Oreochromis niloticus: one gene and its partner. The protein of the gene in region 1 purifies or fractionates together with the protein of each later gene. This does not show direct contact. Links are inferred from orthologs where the notes say so. Each region holds a gene or a part of one and is shown on either strand. Other genes may lie near its edges.

Evidence for each region. Proteins that work in one complex are often made in the same cells at the same time.
Region 2: the proteins of prkar2b (region 1) and akap9 purify together in Homo sapiens (affinity purification with mass spectrometry; 3 studies listed by BioGRID and IntAct, counting the BioPlex papers as one, with this or other methods). This does not show direct contact. The link is inferred for Oreochromis niloticus from reciprocal best matches to the Homo sapiens genes PRKAR2B and AKAP9.

Annotation. Positions count from the first base shown.
Region 1 is NC_031972.2:48,756,039-48,764,030, forward strand, and holds the start of prkar2b (cAMP-dependent protein kinase type II-beta regulatory subunit), read left to right. Parts: upstream 1-4,935; 5' UTR 4,936-5,230; coding exon 5,231-5,495; intron 5,496-6,582; coding exon 6,583-6,618; intron 6,619-7,675; coding exon 7,676-7,728; intron 7,729-7,818; coding exon 7,819-7,902; intron 7,903-7,992. Other genes in the region: hsp90b1 (endoplasmin), read left to right, coding at 1-179, 271-516, 640-776, 873-951, 1,116-1,271, 1,485-1,580, 1,683-1,706. UniProt on the Homo sapiens protein: Regulatory subunit of the cAMP-dependent protein kinases involved in cAMP signaling in cells. Type II regulatory chains mediate membrane association by binding to anchoring proteins, including the MAP2 kinase.
Region 2 is NC_031985.2:17,966,154-17,973,605, reverse strand, and holds the start of akap9 (A-kinase anchor protein 9), read left to right. Parts: upstream 1-4,340; 5' UTR 4,341-4,542; coding exon 4,543-4,590; intron 4,591-7,452. UniProt on the Homo sapiens protein: Scaffolding protein that assembles several protein kinases and phosphatases on the centrosome and Golgi apparatus. Required to maintain the integrity of the Golgi apparatus. Required for microtubule nucleation at the cis-side of the Golgi apparatus.

The sequences.
Region 1 (7,992 bases):
GCACCAACATCAAGCTGGGTGTGATTGAGGATCACTCCAACAGGACCCGTCTTGCTAAGCTGCTGCGCTTCCAAACCTCCAACAGTGAAACAGACCTGTCCAGCCTGGAGCAGTATGTGGAGCGCATGAAGGAGAAGCAGGATAAGATCTATTTCATGGCTGGCACCAGCAGGAAAGAGGTGAGTGAATGTTTTTGGCCAGGTGAAAGAAGTGTAAACTATCCTACACTAGCTGAAATTCTCATGTCTCTTGTTCTTCCATCCGCTACAGGCTGAGTCCTCTCCCTTCGTTGAGAGGCTGCTGAAGAAGGGCTATGAGGTCATCTACCTGACAGAGCCTGTGGATGAGTACTGCATCCAGGCATTGCCAGAGTTTGATGGAAAACGCTTCCAGAACGTGGCCAAGGAAGGTGTCAAATTTGACGAGAGTGAAAAGGCCAAGGAGAAGAGGGAGGCCCTGGAGAAGGAGTTCGAACCTCTCACAACTTGGCTGAAGGACAAAGCTCTAAAGGATAAGGTAATGCTGTGATATTAAAAGAATGGGAAATGAGTGCCAGCTGTATAAGCAGTTAATTTTGGCTATAGCTGCCCATTTATGTCTGTTGCAACATTTAATGCATTGCTGTTTATTCCCCAACAGATTGAGAAGGCTGTTCTCTCTCAGAGGCTAACCAACTCACCCTGCGCCTTGGTTGCCAGTCAGTATGGCTGGTCAGGAAACATGGAGAGGATCATGAAGGCACAGGCCTACCAGACAGGAAAGGACATTTCCACAAAGTGAGTGTTAATCCCGTGCTGATCTTTGCATGTCCATTTATTACTCCACCTGCTATTGCTTTGCTCTAAATCTGTATTTCTGTTTAATCTTTCCAGTTACTATGCCAGCCAGAAGAAAACACTAGAACTCAACCCCAAACATCCTCTTGTCAAGCAGTTGCTTAACAGAGTCAATGTGAGTTTAACCACTGTCATTTTTGTACATCTGTACTATAGTAATTGTCCTTTACTAAGATTACCATCAAATTACTTAGTAAATGTAGTTCATTACATGAATAAACTTAAAATGGACCAATCAGAGCACATAGTTGAACAGTTTCTTTTCCTCACACCCCCCAGGCCGATGCTGAGGACCAGACTGCATCAGATCTGGCTGTGGTTCTGTTTGAGACAGCCACACTGCGCTCAGGATACCAGCTCGTTGATACAAAAGCTTATGGAGACAGAATAGAGCGCATGCTCCGACTCAGCTTGAATGTACCACTAGATGAACAGGCAAGTAACTGCAGCTCTTGTATGGTATACTAATTTGCATAGCAGATGTTTCAGTTTTGGTATCTGTGTCTGAACTAATGGTTCCTCTTCCATCAGTGACCTTTTTTGAGTTTAGTCCTGTCTCTGCTTTTTAAATCTTTGTAAAATGTTAAGTATTTTTGCAGTGATATTTAAGACTGTAGGATATATTTAATGATCATGACTCTTTTATAGATTGAAGAAGAACCAGAGGAGGAGCCTGAGGAACCAGCAGAAGATGACTCTGAAGATAAAGAGGAGACTGTGGATGAGGATGATGATGAAGAAACGGTGAGAACACTTCACACACTCTTGCTTGAGGAGAATGTAAAATTAAGAATCTAGATGATGGAGTGCTTTACTCTTCTGACTTTTCTCTAATCACTCTTACAGACAAAAGACAAGGATGAACTGTGAAGCACTGAAGGGAAGAGCGTGTAACAGTGGAGCTGGAAAATGGACTTAAGTCTCTGTTTCAGTGCCACCGTGGCCACATTATTTCTGGGTGGGGTCCCTGGGTTGGGGTTTTTTAAAGCGAATATTTGTTTTTGTTTCTTTTGTATTACATTCCTCATGACTGTAAATTTGTTAATATTTAACTGACCTGTTTATGGAAAGATGTGATCCTGTCTATTGATCAAATAAATGTTTCGTGGAAAAAATGCTTGCATCGTTTCTGGTGTTTTATTCAAAACTGAAAGAGTTGCTTTCAGACAGGTCTTGGCTACTATTTTCTTTTTCAGTCATCTTAATCCCAACATATCAAAAGTACAGTCTGGCTGTAGCTTATAGTGTAATACATCTACCCATACATAGGGTGCCATGACATTTTACAGTTTGTTTTCAGACTGAAATGATGTAAAGAGTCATGGTTACATGAGCTGTTCTACATTTAGGATACTTTACTGTTCTTTTCGGTTGCACATTTATGCAAATTTAATGAGGAAGGATGCATTTAAAAAAAAAAAAATATTAAGTGCACTGAGGGTGACACCCCTGTGGTTTCTCTACAGCAACCCTGGGGAGATGGCTTACTGGTAAGATGTCATGAAGACTGATGCATCTTGTACAGGATGTCTTCATTGAGCCATGCCTTTTTTTTTTTTTCTTCTTTTTTTTTTTCTTTACTGAAAGTGAGCAGAACTAGGTGCCTAGCCTTAATTGTTGGATATAGTGATTTTGACTATAATAATATTGTACACTAAATGCTAAATCTAATAAAATCTACTTGTGTGGGTTTATCTCAGAATCTGTTATGATGACCTAAACATGCAGACCACAGGCTTGTCAAGGTTTACAGGAAAGCAATGAAACCCACAAGGATGTGGAACAGCCAGTAGATGCAAGAGATAAAACTTGTTTGGGGTTTGTTTGTTTGTTTGTGGGGTTTTTTGGCGGGGGGGCGTCTTCACCACTGAATTAATTATCTAATTTTACACAGTAAGCTTATTTTACCCAAGAAATACATTTGTTCCAACACACTCAGGAAAGACGGCAACTTAATGGCACTTGAAACAGGAAACAACATCAACTGTATCCTAGTTTAACAATACATTGTAATGTAGTGGGATGTCCAGTAGGTGGCACTAATACATTCAAAATGGGTTCTAGCAGCCAATGAATTAAAGGACGCACTCAATCATTACGTCATTAAATTGACTTAAGAGGTTTCAGCTTCACATTTTTGAGATGAAGCCATAGAATAAAAACATGGAGCCCTTTCGAAGCTGATCTCGCCCCACTTCACTTGGCAAGTATTATTTAAGTATTGCAAAAAGACATGTTTCCCCCCCCCATTTCTTTAGTTGAAATGCACGTGAAAGAATGCCATTGTAGAATAAAAGAAAAAAATGCAGGCCTAAAAAAATCTACATCTGATGAACAGTATCTTGAAGTTGTTTTAAAAGAAAACTGTTCTTTTCTTTATATATATATATGTGTGTGTATATATATATGTATATGTATATATATGTATATGTATATATATGTATGTTGTATATCAACAGAGAATTCGCTGTTTAAGTGTAGTTAACAATTACACCAATGCAAGCTCTACTGGTCTGTTGTGAAGCTTAAAGTAGAAACCGTCTTCAGGATCTATGGTTCAGTGAACAGGGCTGACGCACAGTGTGTGTGTTTTGTGCAGCTGACTCTTACAGTAGATGAAATGATGGTGTTGTGCTGTATTCAGATGTGTGTGTGTGGGGGTGTGTGTGTGTGTGTGGGGGGGTGTCTTATAGTTCACAGTGGTCTGGAATAGTGAGTTTGAAAGCTAACAGCTAAACTGCAGCAGTGGAGCATTACAGGTCACTCCATCGACATGCTCCCATTCGCCGGAGTGAGAAATGCTGCGCCTTTCTTAATAAAGGGTGACAGATATGGGCCACAGCAGGGGGAGGGGTGTCATAGTGGAGCCACAGAGGAATGATAACCATGGCAGATAATAGCTGTGCTCCTTTAGCACAGTTATTATCTGTTTCCTCAAGTGGTTCCCTCAAACTAACCTTCTCTCTGCTGGAAGCCTTGAAATTCCAACACAATATGAGAAGGGATTTTTGGGGGGGGGGGGGGGATTTCTCACACTGTAGTAGTTGTGCCACCACATGCCATGACTAAAACTCACCTGAGGTCACCCAACCTCAGCAAGTGGGCAGACTTCCCACTTGCTCTGCATTCCAGTTTAACCCTTACCCCCTTGTTTTGCTCTACTTCCCCTTCCTCTCTGGATTAGCTGTTTGACAGAATGTAGTTTTGCAGGCTTGTGAACTCATGTCACTCCTACAAATGTTTCTGGTACGAGAAAGTGTCAACTAAATTTGAACTCATATTGTGGATATGCATTTTTGTGGCTCAGTCATATTGTAACCCACAGCAGAGCATCATTAGTTCATCTCTTGATAGATGTCCATATGAAGTCTATGATTAATGAGCTTTAGTTTGAGACCTAGACTTATTTTTTCTGTCTGAGCCGTTTTTCTAATGTACTAAATGTTCAGCTACACAAGTCCGTGATATCACAGGGGAACGTTTGATTCTGAAATGAAACTTCCATCTGGCGTGGTCAAAGTGTTCTGACAGGTCCCATGACATTAAAATATCCAGCACATTTATTATTATTTTCTCCCTATGGAACAAGAAATGAGCCTCCAAACTCTCTAAACTATCATAAACGATCTTTTCTTATTAGCTCCTTTAAAAAAAAGAAGCCTAAATAAAAATACAGAACTAATCTTTATTGAGCTGTAGGTCTTTACAGAGGTCTTAGGTTTTAATGTTTACCTGTTTAAATATGAATTACATGTGGCAAAACAAAAAAATAGATACATTTCCCTCAGATTCAGTGTTTATCATTGCATGGTAGTACCTTTTTGTCTTTAGCCTTGCTATGTCTACTGCTGTTGTTTTTTTCTTTTTAAATAATATGCGATGTCTTCTTATTTAATCATATTTTAAATCGTTTAGGGTAAGTGTGAGTGAACAACCACGGAAAACATACATGCCAGACCGCAGGATATTTGATCTAATCTCTGTTAGTGAAAAATCGATCTATGACTGAAAGAGCCTTCCCCAGGGCTTCTCTTTCCCATCATTTGTATTTTGCGACTGACTGCAGTTTCTGCGCCGCTGCTGCTCATACGCAATCTCTGGATAGGTGGTTGCCATGGATTCCTGGGTCACATGCGTGGGTTTCCTAGCCAGAAGCAGCAGAAGATGTTCGGACCAAAAATCCAGAGCCATTTTCATTCAAGAAAAAGAGAGGATCCGCTGTGGAGGGCTTGCTGAGCGGGTGGTCTGACTACACACCCGTCTGCTGATTTCGGCATCTTTAAAAAAAAGCCAACCAAAAAACACGACGGGAAGAAAACCTGATCTGGGTGCTTTTGAATCACTGAAATTCGCAGCAAACCGGTTTTGTCCACATCCATAGACTGATAACAGGAATGAGTATAGAAATTCCTGAAGGACTGACGGAGCTGTTACAGAGCTTTACCGTGGAAGTGTTGAGGAATCAGCCCAGGGACTTGCTCGAGTTTGCGCTACAGTATTTCACCCAGCTTAAGGAGAACGAGACCAAAGAGGCCTCATTTGGCAATGACCAAAATTCGGCCCCGAGACTTGGGAAAGCGGTCAATTTCATTGACGAAGCCATGCAGATCGATTCGGAAAACGGAGAGGAGGACGACGACGATGACGAGGAATTCATAGGTGGGCTAACACATTCACCGTGCGTGTTTCTGTCAGGGGGATGCTGAACGTGACTCGAGATGCTTTGCTTTGAATTGTGAGCATGTATGGATGGATGGATGGCTGCACCGCGGCTGTTCTGTGGGAGAGAATGAGAAACCACATCGAGCGCGCTGATGCTGCCGCCATACATTTACAACGGCTCTGTCATTTGCCATATATGGTCACCGAGGCTCAATGCTGCTTCACGAACGTGTTTTGCTCTTCACGTTTCTGCTCAGAGAATAGCACCTGCACACTGCGGCTTCTACGTTTGCTTTATAAATAATTATGATAGTAATAAAAACATCTGGACCGTTTGAATGTTTTCTGTCTCAGGTGCAGGCCCGGTGGGCCTCCCCTTCATATGTACCCCCCCCCAAAAAAGACAAAGCTTGTAAAACATAAAGGGCTACAGCTTCAGCTGTTATATAGATGCAGGCAGTACACAATCTGCCGTCGACAGGCCTACATTTCCTGAAGTATTTAACACAGTGACTGCTGCTAGAGTGTAATGAGGTGCAGCCAGAAGCAACCCAGAGCTCTGACACAGCATCCCAATGAGTGGTGGCTTCTGCAAGACTGGCTGCAATGGTTACATAAGGAGAAATGCCTCACATGCAGTTGTTAAACGTCTGTGTTTTGGGTCATTGTTGTGCCCCCCCAACCAACCAACCAACCACCATTAATGCCTCCCATATTTCAACGAGATTCCCCGGTCAGCACTGGTTGGCAGGCCATTAATGGATGAGACCTCCTATCTAATGTATATTTCATACTGACCTATTGTGTAGCAGCTTGGCACTGTTTTTCTCATTTAAATTTGATTCAAAGGCTAAAATCCACTTCAAAGCAGCTGTCCCCCATTCAGCTTTTACTCAGATGAATATAGACCCTAATGAGAATGCTCCACTTGTGCTGTAGATGTGTAGATGTAGAAATACAACAGCCTCAAACCTTCCTAGCAATAACAGTTTGTGATGGATGGATATCTTTTATGGTGAAATCTAACATGCTTTTTTAAAAAAAACCCAACCCAGATATATATCTTTCTTTTTCTTTTCTCCAGCCCCTGTGATAAACAGATTCATCCGAAGAGCATCAGGTGAGTTGCCATCTTCCTGTTGTGTCAAGGAGGGAAACTCTGGACAGTGTCTGAGCTGAAAACATTAAATAAAGCCTTCTGTGACACATGACTAGCGAGGCTGCGTCAGATTGGTTTCAGTACAAGTGATACTTAAGTATTTTTCCATCTGTCTTTTGTTACCGTCTTCCACTTATTGTAATCGTGTTGATTTGTTACAGCTTGTGAAGCCACTTTGTCTTGAACCCGTCAGTGAGTAATGTAGCAATAGTAAAGTTGCGGCTTCACATAACTTTGTTGTGTTTGGATAGCTGCTTGGTCTGCCTTTCTGAATGGAAAGAATTATTTATTAATAACTTAGGTATTTAACTTACCTCTTATCACTTCAGACGGGGAACGAACATCTTCTACTTAGTACACTGTAAAGCTTGCACAGGAAATGAAAACAAATTTAATTAAGTTAACATTAAGCTGGCCACTTACTATATTCCACTTTAGCCTGTGCCAAGTTGAAAGTTTTTTATACCACTACCCCATCTTTCTGTTAACATATAGGAAGGAAATGCGGTAAGAGTGCTGTCATCCATCACCGCATATTCCTGTACTCAAGATGAGAAAAGTTGTTTTTATTGAAAGATTTATTGCCTGAAATGGTCCTGAATCATCCCTGGAATTTGCCTTTTTTGTTTGACTGGGATGAAGTCTGTGCCGTGGGCCACCTGAAGATGAACATTTGTTTTTCAGATGTTATGTAAGGTGTCGTTATTCATCTAAAAGTTCATTTAAAAAAAAAAAAGTGAAGCTTTTTCAAATAAAGGCCTGGTAGACAGTTCCACTGGAAGTGAGCTCTCAGAGACCCTAGAGACGCTGGTATACTTCAGCATTATAATTCATGAACGGGACGAAACAAGCAATTAATAAGGGATTAATTAACAATTCTATTTACAAACACCTTTGACATCTACTGTCGCTAATAACAAGAAAACTGCCCCAGAATTGAAAACACTGTATGGACAAAATAACTGCTGCTCATCAATAAGAGAAATGTAAATGTGATTTGTGTGTCTGTGTCATGCAGTGTGTGCTGAAGCATTCAATCCTGACGAAGATGATGAGGATAAAGAGCCAAGGGTAAACTGCATCCATCCAGTGATTATTTTATTTACACAATTGGTTTAACTGTTCAGAGGTTATAAGTCTGATTCGTGATTTATGTTTTAGGTCACTCACCCCAAAACTGATGAGCAGAGACAGAGACTACAGGAAGCATGTAGGGACATTCTTCTGTTCAAGAATTTGGATCCTGTGAGTGGATTATTCCATAAGCTCTTCTCTGGTTTGTGCCCTGCCATATCCTAAATTAAACAAAGGGAAACATGGCCCAAGGCCAGCAAA
Region 2 (7,452 bases), on another chromosome or scaffold:
ACAGCATTATAGAGGACTGGACCGTTGTTACAGGCATCAATAGTTAATTCTGTCTCAGCTAGCAGATGCTCTCGTACAAGCTACAAAAGGACATTTACCATGTGTTATGGTTCACAGCCTGCCACTGAGAAACGTACTGACCCAGTGCGTCTCTTTACTGATGAGTCCCCCCACTTATGCATATTTTAATGCATGACACTGATATTGTCATTATGCAAATACACATTGCTCTGCTGCTTTGAGACTGAAGTGAGCTCTATCGCAACAGCTGGGCAGCTGGAGTCTCGATTCAAATTTGTCTCACACATCCACAGGTCACAGTTACATTTGCATTTGCACACCTGAAATTTTCTTAAACGTATCCAAAGTATTTTAGGGACCCTTATAGTCTTTGTGTCTGTCTTTTAATTACTTATACTCTATGACAGAAGATAAAGAGAGGCTATAACACACCATAAATGGTAAGAGTGGTTCAATCTGATCTACTCTGCTATTGTATTTGAAACAGAGACATTCCCACATGTTGCTGAGCTTCCAGCTTTCTTGTTGCACTTAACTAAACCTACTGGAGTGTGACATGTATTTTTTTAGCCCCCATAAAAGTTATTTGGCCTCATAAGAGATTACAAGAAGCCAAGATTTCTTAAACATAGAAATAGATCATACATGTTTTGGTAATACAAACAGTCATGTGAAGCTTTCACAGGACTTTATCAGTCGCTTACAACACTGAAGAGGAATTTCAGCTAGTATACCCTTACTGTTTCCATAGGAATTAAGTGGGCAAGTGGCAGCCCAGTGCTGCTAATCTCTAACAAGTATGGCTTGTTTGGATGGACTGCCAGAAGAAAGCCTCTTCTCTCTAAAAAGACCAAAGTGGAGATTCATGGCCATAATGCACAACACCATGTTTGGAGAAAGGTAAGTACAGCATGTCAGCACACCACCTACTGTCAAGCACGGTGGCGGATAGGCCATGATTTAGCTTGTTTTTGCAACCATGTCCTCATTTTTACATATTGGGTTTATGAAGCATAACACAATAAAGTCTCAATTGTGTAATAAAATATAGAATACTTTGAGCAGAATGAAGTATAAGGATGAAGAAAAGCATTAAAAAAAAAATGTAATCATATGAGGATCTCAGGAGGTGAAACTATATGACACTTCTGGGCTATAAATACACTTTAATTTAAAAGAGCCGCAGCACTGGATGTGATGATAATCTACATTAGTTAAGGTTGCTTTTAATCTTTTGTCCACCATGTGTATTTAAAGTGTTATAAGTCTCAGCTGAATGGTGCTTTTAATCTTTTGTCCACCATGTGTATTTAAAGTGTTATAAGAAAAATGGTTCAAAGTGGTTTTATTTTACTTTTCAGTATATAGATGTTTCTATCATTTTAATTCTAACAGCCTTTATTCACCACCCTCTGACTTATAAATATAGCATGCATGCTGTTCATTTGTTGAGCTTGTCTTGGTAAAGTCACTTGGGTAATTGTAGACTCTGTATACTCCCTGAGTGAATCAATAATTCAGAGACTGGCGAAACTTTCAAAAGTTCCTGCAGACGCTGGTGCTCAAACAGCGAGCTTTCACAGGTGAGATCAGGCTGGTGAGAATGTCCAAAAGAAGATGGGTGGAATTCAAAATCTGCCAGACGATAAGCTGTTCAGCCCCCGTCAGCCGAAGACACAGAGCATCTTCTCCCGCTGCTGCTGCTGCTGCTACTGCTACTACTGGTATGTTTCTGGAAGTATAAGGAAAAGTTTAATATTTTATAATTCTACAAGAATATTTTAACCTGGATGTTAGAACAAGAAATCTTCGAGTGAAACTGAGGCAAAACGCTTAGGTAGGATATTGGTTTAAGACTGGACTGGCCTGCAAATAAAAAGGGAATAAATGTTGGTCCACCTGGAATTTAATCTCAGGGAAATTGAAATAAAATGTAACAGTGTAAGGAAATAATCAAAGAATATGAAATATTAAAACTGGTTAAAATTTGTTAGTCTTACATTTGCAGTTTGAGGCATGCCCTGGGGAAATATGGCGTTTAAGCAAATGTGTAACAAATAATCTCCAGATTTCTAAAATCCCAGCAAAGACCCCTCTGAATTACTGCCCATATCCCCTATTAGCTCACTGGTGATCAAATAAAAACTTTAAAGCAACAAGATTAGTTCATCTAACGATCAAGCCATAAAGTTTATATTATCACTGACTTATTTGGGAGAAAATGACAGGAAAGATAAAAGGCCCTTAGTTTGCCAAGAATATGCTACTTTAATTAAATATATACTATTTTAAGACTGAAGATCAATCCCACATGGAGGCTGTGAGTAAAATATTGCCTGTCCATTTGTTTTAATCGTCCCCATCTGTCCTAGAAACCGATGCCAGTCTCTCATATTACCTGCAGCACCATTCAGCTGGGACAGCTCACGTGCTTCCTCTTTAACATATGGCAGCATTCTTGGTGATGCAGCCCATTCAAACGCCATGCTGGAGAATGTGAGGTGACGGCTGGAGCCTTTATTAGCAGCAAACATCTTTGATATGAAAATATTCTGTGTTTAAAAAAGAAAACTCTCAACTGGGACAGCTCTGGCAACCTCTCCTCCTCGCCTGTTACCATAGAAACTGAGCAGACTTTACAAGCAGACTTCAGACTGCAGAGAATGAAGGGAAATTTATGGGATTGTAGTCAAATATAGTGACGGGATTATTAATAATTAGCACTAAATGTATTATTTTTGCATTAAATAATCTTTTACATTGTGAGAAATTCAGCCCTCTTTTCTGTAATGGCTCTACAAATTCACAAATATCTTTCAAACCACAAAGACAGAGAAAAAAAGAGAATCATAAATTATGGAGAAATGTGGTGTGTTTGGATTTAAAGCAGTCAGCAAGTGTTTCATCACCACCCTCAATGGTAGACGCCAACTAAATGCATTTTAGTGAGATACTTATGTGGGTACAAATGGAGAGACATGTATTTTATTTTGATAGCATCTGGCATTTGCCTCCATTACTTTATCAGTCAAGATATATTTATAGAAGACAAATTTAAAGCTACCCAATAGGATTAGGAGTATTTCAAGTGGCAGGGAGTGAAACCGGTTTGAACATGCTTGATAATTGTTTCACAAAGTGAAAAAAAAATGGGCTAAAAAGTAAAATTTATATTAAAGGCTTATGTGGTTTCATGGTGAACAAGTTATTAAATCATAATATACTTAGTGTCTAAAGTAAATGTACTTATTATATTGAATATCACTTTTCAGAATCATGTATATACTGGATCATAATTTCTGATTCACTGATTTGTATGTCACTGTATGAGTGCAAACTACAGTATTTGCAAAGAAAATATGGTAAAGTAGAAGCAGAATGTAGCATTACATTGAAATACTTAATATGCTCTCATCCACTGGGCATCATTAAGCTTTACAGTACTCTGGTCCAAAGGCATTAGCGGGGCATGCCCGAGAACAGGATACACAGTGGTTAAAATTAGTTAGATTAAATCTATCCGCTGTTTTTGGATACAGGGTTATACTTTTACTTTTAATTATTATTTTGTTGTTGTTGTTTAGATATATACTAAAACTGTGCTGAATTAATTGTCATGTCATTGCTTCTTTTACTCAAAGTCAGAATCAGAGCTTGACAGTGAAAGAATTTTTTCGAATTAATTAGCTGGAAGTTGAATTTGGTATTCCCACCTCACCTAAAAACAAGTTTCTGGGAGACAATTCAGCAACAACCATGTGAGAACTTGAGTAAGAAAACACTTTCCTTTTTCAGTAGGTGGAGGTTTGCAATAAATAACAGATTCTGGTCATCAGACAACAGACTTTTTAATGACAATATATATATCGAAATGTAATTTTTTAACTTTATTTTTTTTATAAATGAATTAAAGTATTTAAAAAACTTTTTCTAGTACTGTGTGGTCATACGAAAAAGTGATCGCTTGCCAAAATTTGATTTCCTGTATTTGCCTGCTCTGAGTGACTTGATGGCCTATAATCTGTCCAACATTCCTGACACTATTTGGGAGTTGTGGTCACTTTTTCATAACGTTACTTTTATATATCTTTTACTTATACAGGTGTAAAAGTCCCACTGAAAATAAAAATGACTTTTTAAAGAGAGATATGGCTAAGAATACACCAGAAATAGTAACAATATAACATAATATATAGAAATTTGAAGTGGTAAAAAAAAACGACGATCATGTTGGGGACGGTATTTCTGACTGAGCGTGAACGCACCACCGTTGGGCTGCCAGTGGGCGTGGCTGTGAAGGCACCTACACTACGTCATCATTACTGGGTCTCATGTTTACGTGGAAAACATGGCGGCGGACTACCAACAAGGAGACAGCTAGTTAATACCAGTGGAAGTCTCTGGGAGCGAGCCACGAGTCAGAGAGAGAGAGGGACATTTAGCTGTTAGCTTTTAAATTTCTCTCGCGGATACTTCGCATGAGGCAGTTTCTCTGTTTGTTTAGCCACAGGGACTGCGGGGATGGAAGACGAGGAGAGGCAAAAGAAGCTGGAGGCCGGCAAAGCAAAGGTATGATTCTCAGTTTTGGTGCTAGCACAACTCACTGACACTGCTCTCATTACTCTGAAGTAGCGACTTAATGCTGTCGACAACTTGTTTTCTCGCGGCCGGGGTCTGTCAGACGCTTTTCGCCTCACCCCCCCTCCCTTTCATTTTACGCTATCAGCTGTCGGGCTCCGCAAACATGCGCCCTGCTTCGCTCTGACAGCCGGGCATGGGGCGGGCGGGGTGGGGGTGGTTAGCATAGCCGCTGCTAGTCTCCTTTGTCATGCTGCATGTCTGCACTTACTAAAGTGTTTCCTTTTACTTTACCGAAACCGATGTGCAGGTGTGCGCACGCAGTGTTAAGACCAGACGCCACATTGCTACCCGGGATTTATAAACGCCACCTGAAGTGACACTGACTGACAGGCTGGTGTAACAGGATTTACAGGACATAACCCCACTGGCTAGAACCAGCATTGCCTCACATGCCAAACTTGTGCTTTATTAGCTGTCTTCTAGAAACGATAGCATCCACAAACTGGATCAATGTTTATATTAATCGACATTGACACAGTGCTCACTCCTCTTTCAGTTTTGGCTCGTGGTGCTTGTGGATGACACTGCAGGAGCTCTGTTATCTATTTTTATAGCCTGTATAACCCAAACATCTTGTGGGGGATGTGTTTTATCAAAAAAGATGTTTGCAAAGAGATCTTAGCAACATAATTACAAGCTGGTCAGACCAGCCTGTGGTGAGCCACCATCTTTCTTTCATATCATGAATACACCAGTGTCATGCTGCAAGCATGTGGACAATTAGATAAAGCATATGCACAGTTGAGTGTTGCAGTATAGCCCTGAATGTTGCATTCTTATACATTCTTTCCTCAGCTGTCTGGATGCAAAAGCATATATATAAATGAGACTTTAGTTGATGCAGAGGCTTCTTAACAATCTTAATAATATTTAAGGAAAATCTTTATTTGCAATGTTGCCTGTCTAGTTTTCATGATCCTGCTCTCAAGGTTCAGATGTGGGTCCAGTGTTAGATTTCATGGTGTATGCCAGTTGTTATGGATGTTGAAGCTGTGGAAAGCTTTGGGAGGAGTGTCGGTACTTATTTGACTGGAGTTATTTTAAGTTGCAAATTTTAAGACAGAAACATCAGCCTGAGCCATTAGATTGAGACCAAATGTTTATAAAGTGAAGCACTTGTGTATTTCTAAAAATATTACCGTGCAGCACAAACTTACAAAATCTTGTAAAGAGATTGTATCTGCAATCTTTGTACATAGGTAATGTGTTTATATATCTATTTATTTTTTGTTTTCTTTCTACTGTGGGAAATGGGATCCTGAGGTTTGATTACGTCTTCTCTTTTACTCCAGGAGAGCCCTAATGAGAATGAGTCTCTACGAACTAAATTGTCGAGTCAGAAAGTGTCAAAACTGCTTAAATCAGGCAGTCTCACAAAGGGAAATCCAGCCTCTTTCCATCCAGATGCTGCAGAGAAACATTCAGCATGCTGGTTTTTAAATTGCTTGAGCTCTCTGGTTTTTGCACTGCAGGGGAGACCGTCTCCCGGGTTATGACTTTGGTATTTTGGTTTATAAAAAGGCCCCTCTGTGGTGCAGGCTGGTTTCTTTCACACAGTGCCAAATCACAGTGTCCTCACGCAGTGAAGAAATCTCATGACATAATGTTTAACAGGGACTTCCAGGGCTGAGTCAGTCCATAAGCTGTGGGGAGTGTTTGCATTGTCTTCTGGCTTCCTCACTTTATAAAAAAATATTTGTTTTGTCATGTATTTCCTCCTGAAAAATAGGATTTTTAGTAATAAATCTTAACAAGAATGACTTCAAAGATGCATTTCTGAAATCAGGTGAAGGAGAAGTTGATGTTGATATCTGAGTGAAGGGTAAACTGTCTGTCATCTATTGTGTAGCTCGTAGCAGGCGAGTGCCTATTGAGTCACACCAGACAATAAGCAAAGTGAATATTGTGGGCCAGTGTTGCCAGGCTTTTGTTTCAGGCTGTTGTGTGCAGATGCTTTGTTCATGTTTGCCTACAAAATGGAGCACACTGACAAGCGTGTTACTGGCATTCTGGATTTATTCATTCAAGACTTTCACTCAGTTCTTCAGTTACATGAGTAGCATCTTCTTAGGCTCCCTGTATGAAAAACACTCAGCACTGACTGCAATAATGTACTCAGGGTGGTGTCAGATTTTCTGTTGGGTCAAAGAAACTCATGAACTCAGATATGGCACCTGTTCCTACACTTACTTTCTCTAAATCCCTCCCAATTTTCAGATCCAAACGTCACCTGTCATGTCACTTTGTAGTTGTGGGTAAATTTTCTGTCTGTATATATCTGTCAGATGAAGAGTTTCTTTGTTTGTTTCCCTCCAATTAAGATTGAAGCTTATTATATCTTCTTTTTTATTCTTACAGAGGTGTGCGTTTCCACTGAATGAAAGTACCTTTTTCATGTTGTTTGTCACCCTGGTCGTTGGGATCAGTAGTACATTGAACAGAGCTGATTTTTAATGAAACATCAGGGAATAACCTGCGTCAGTATATTTGCTGTTTGAGCAGGCTCAGATTTATACTGATTGGCTCAGGGGGCAGCCACTATGGTGGTGTTTAATTTGGCTCAGGGGATGCTCATAATTCGTAAAGGATTCTATGTGTATTTGTTTGTCTGCTTCTCCGATATGTCTCAACTGTGCAGCTGTGCAACCTCAGGCTCTTTCTGCAGAATGAAGAATCACTGATTTGTTTGTGCTTTTGACAGATGAATACTGATGATTATCCACAAATCAAAAAGCAATAATACTATCTTAAAACATTTTATGCATCCGATATTTTTTAGAAGGTTTACAT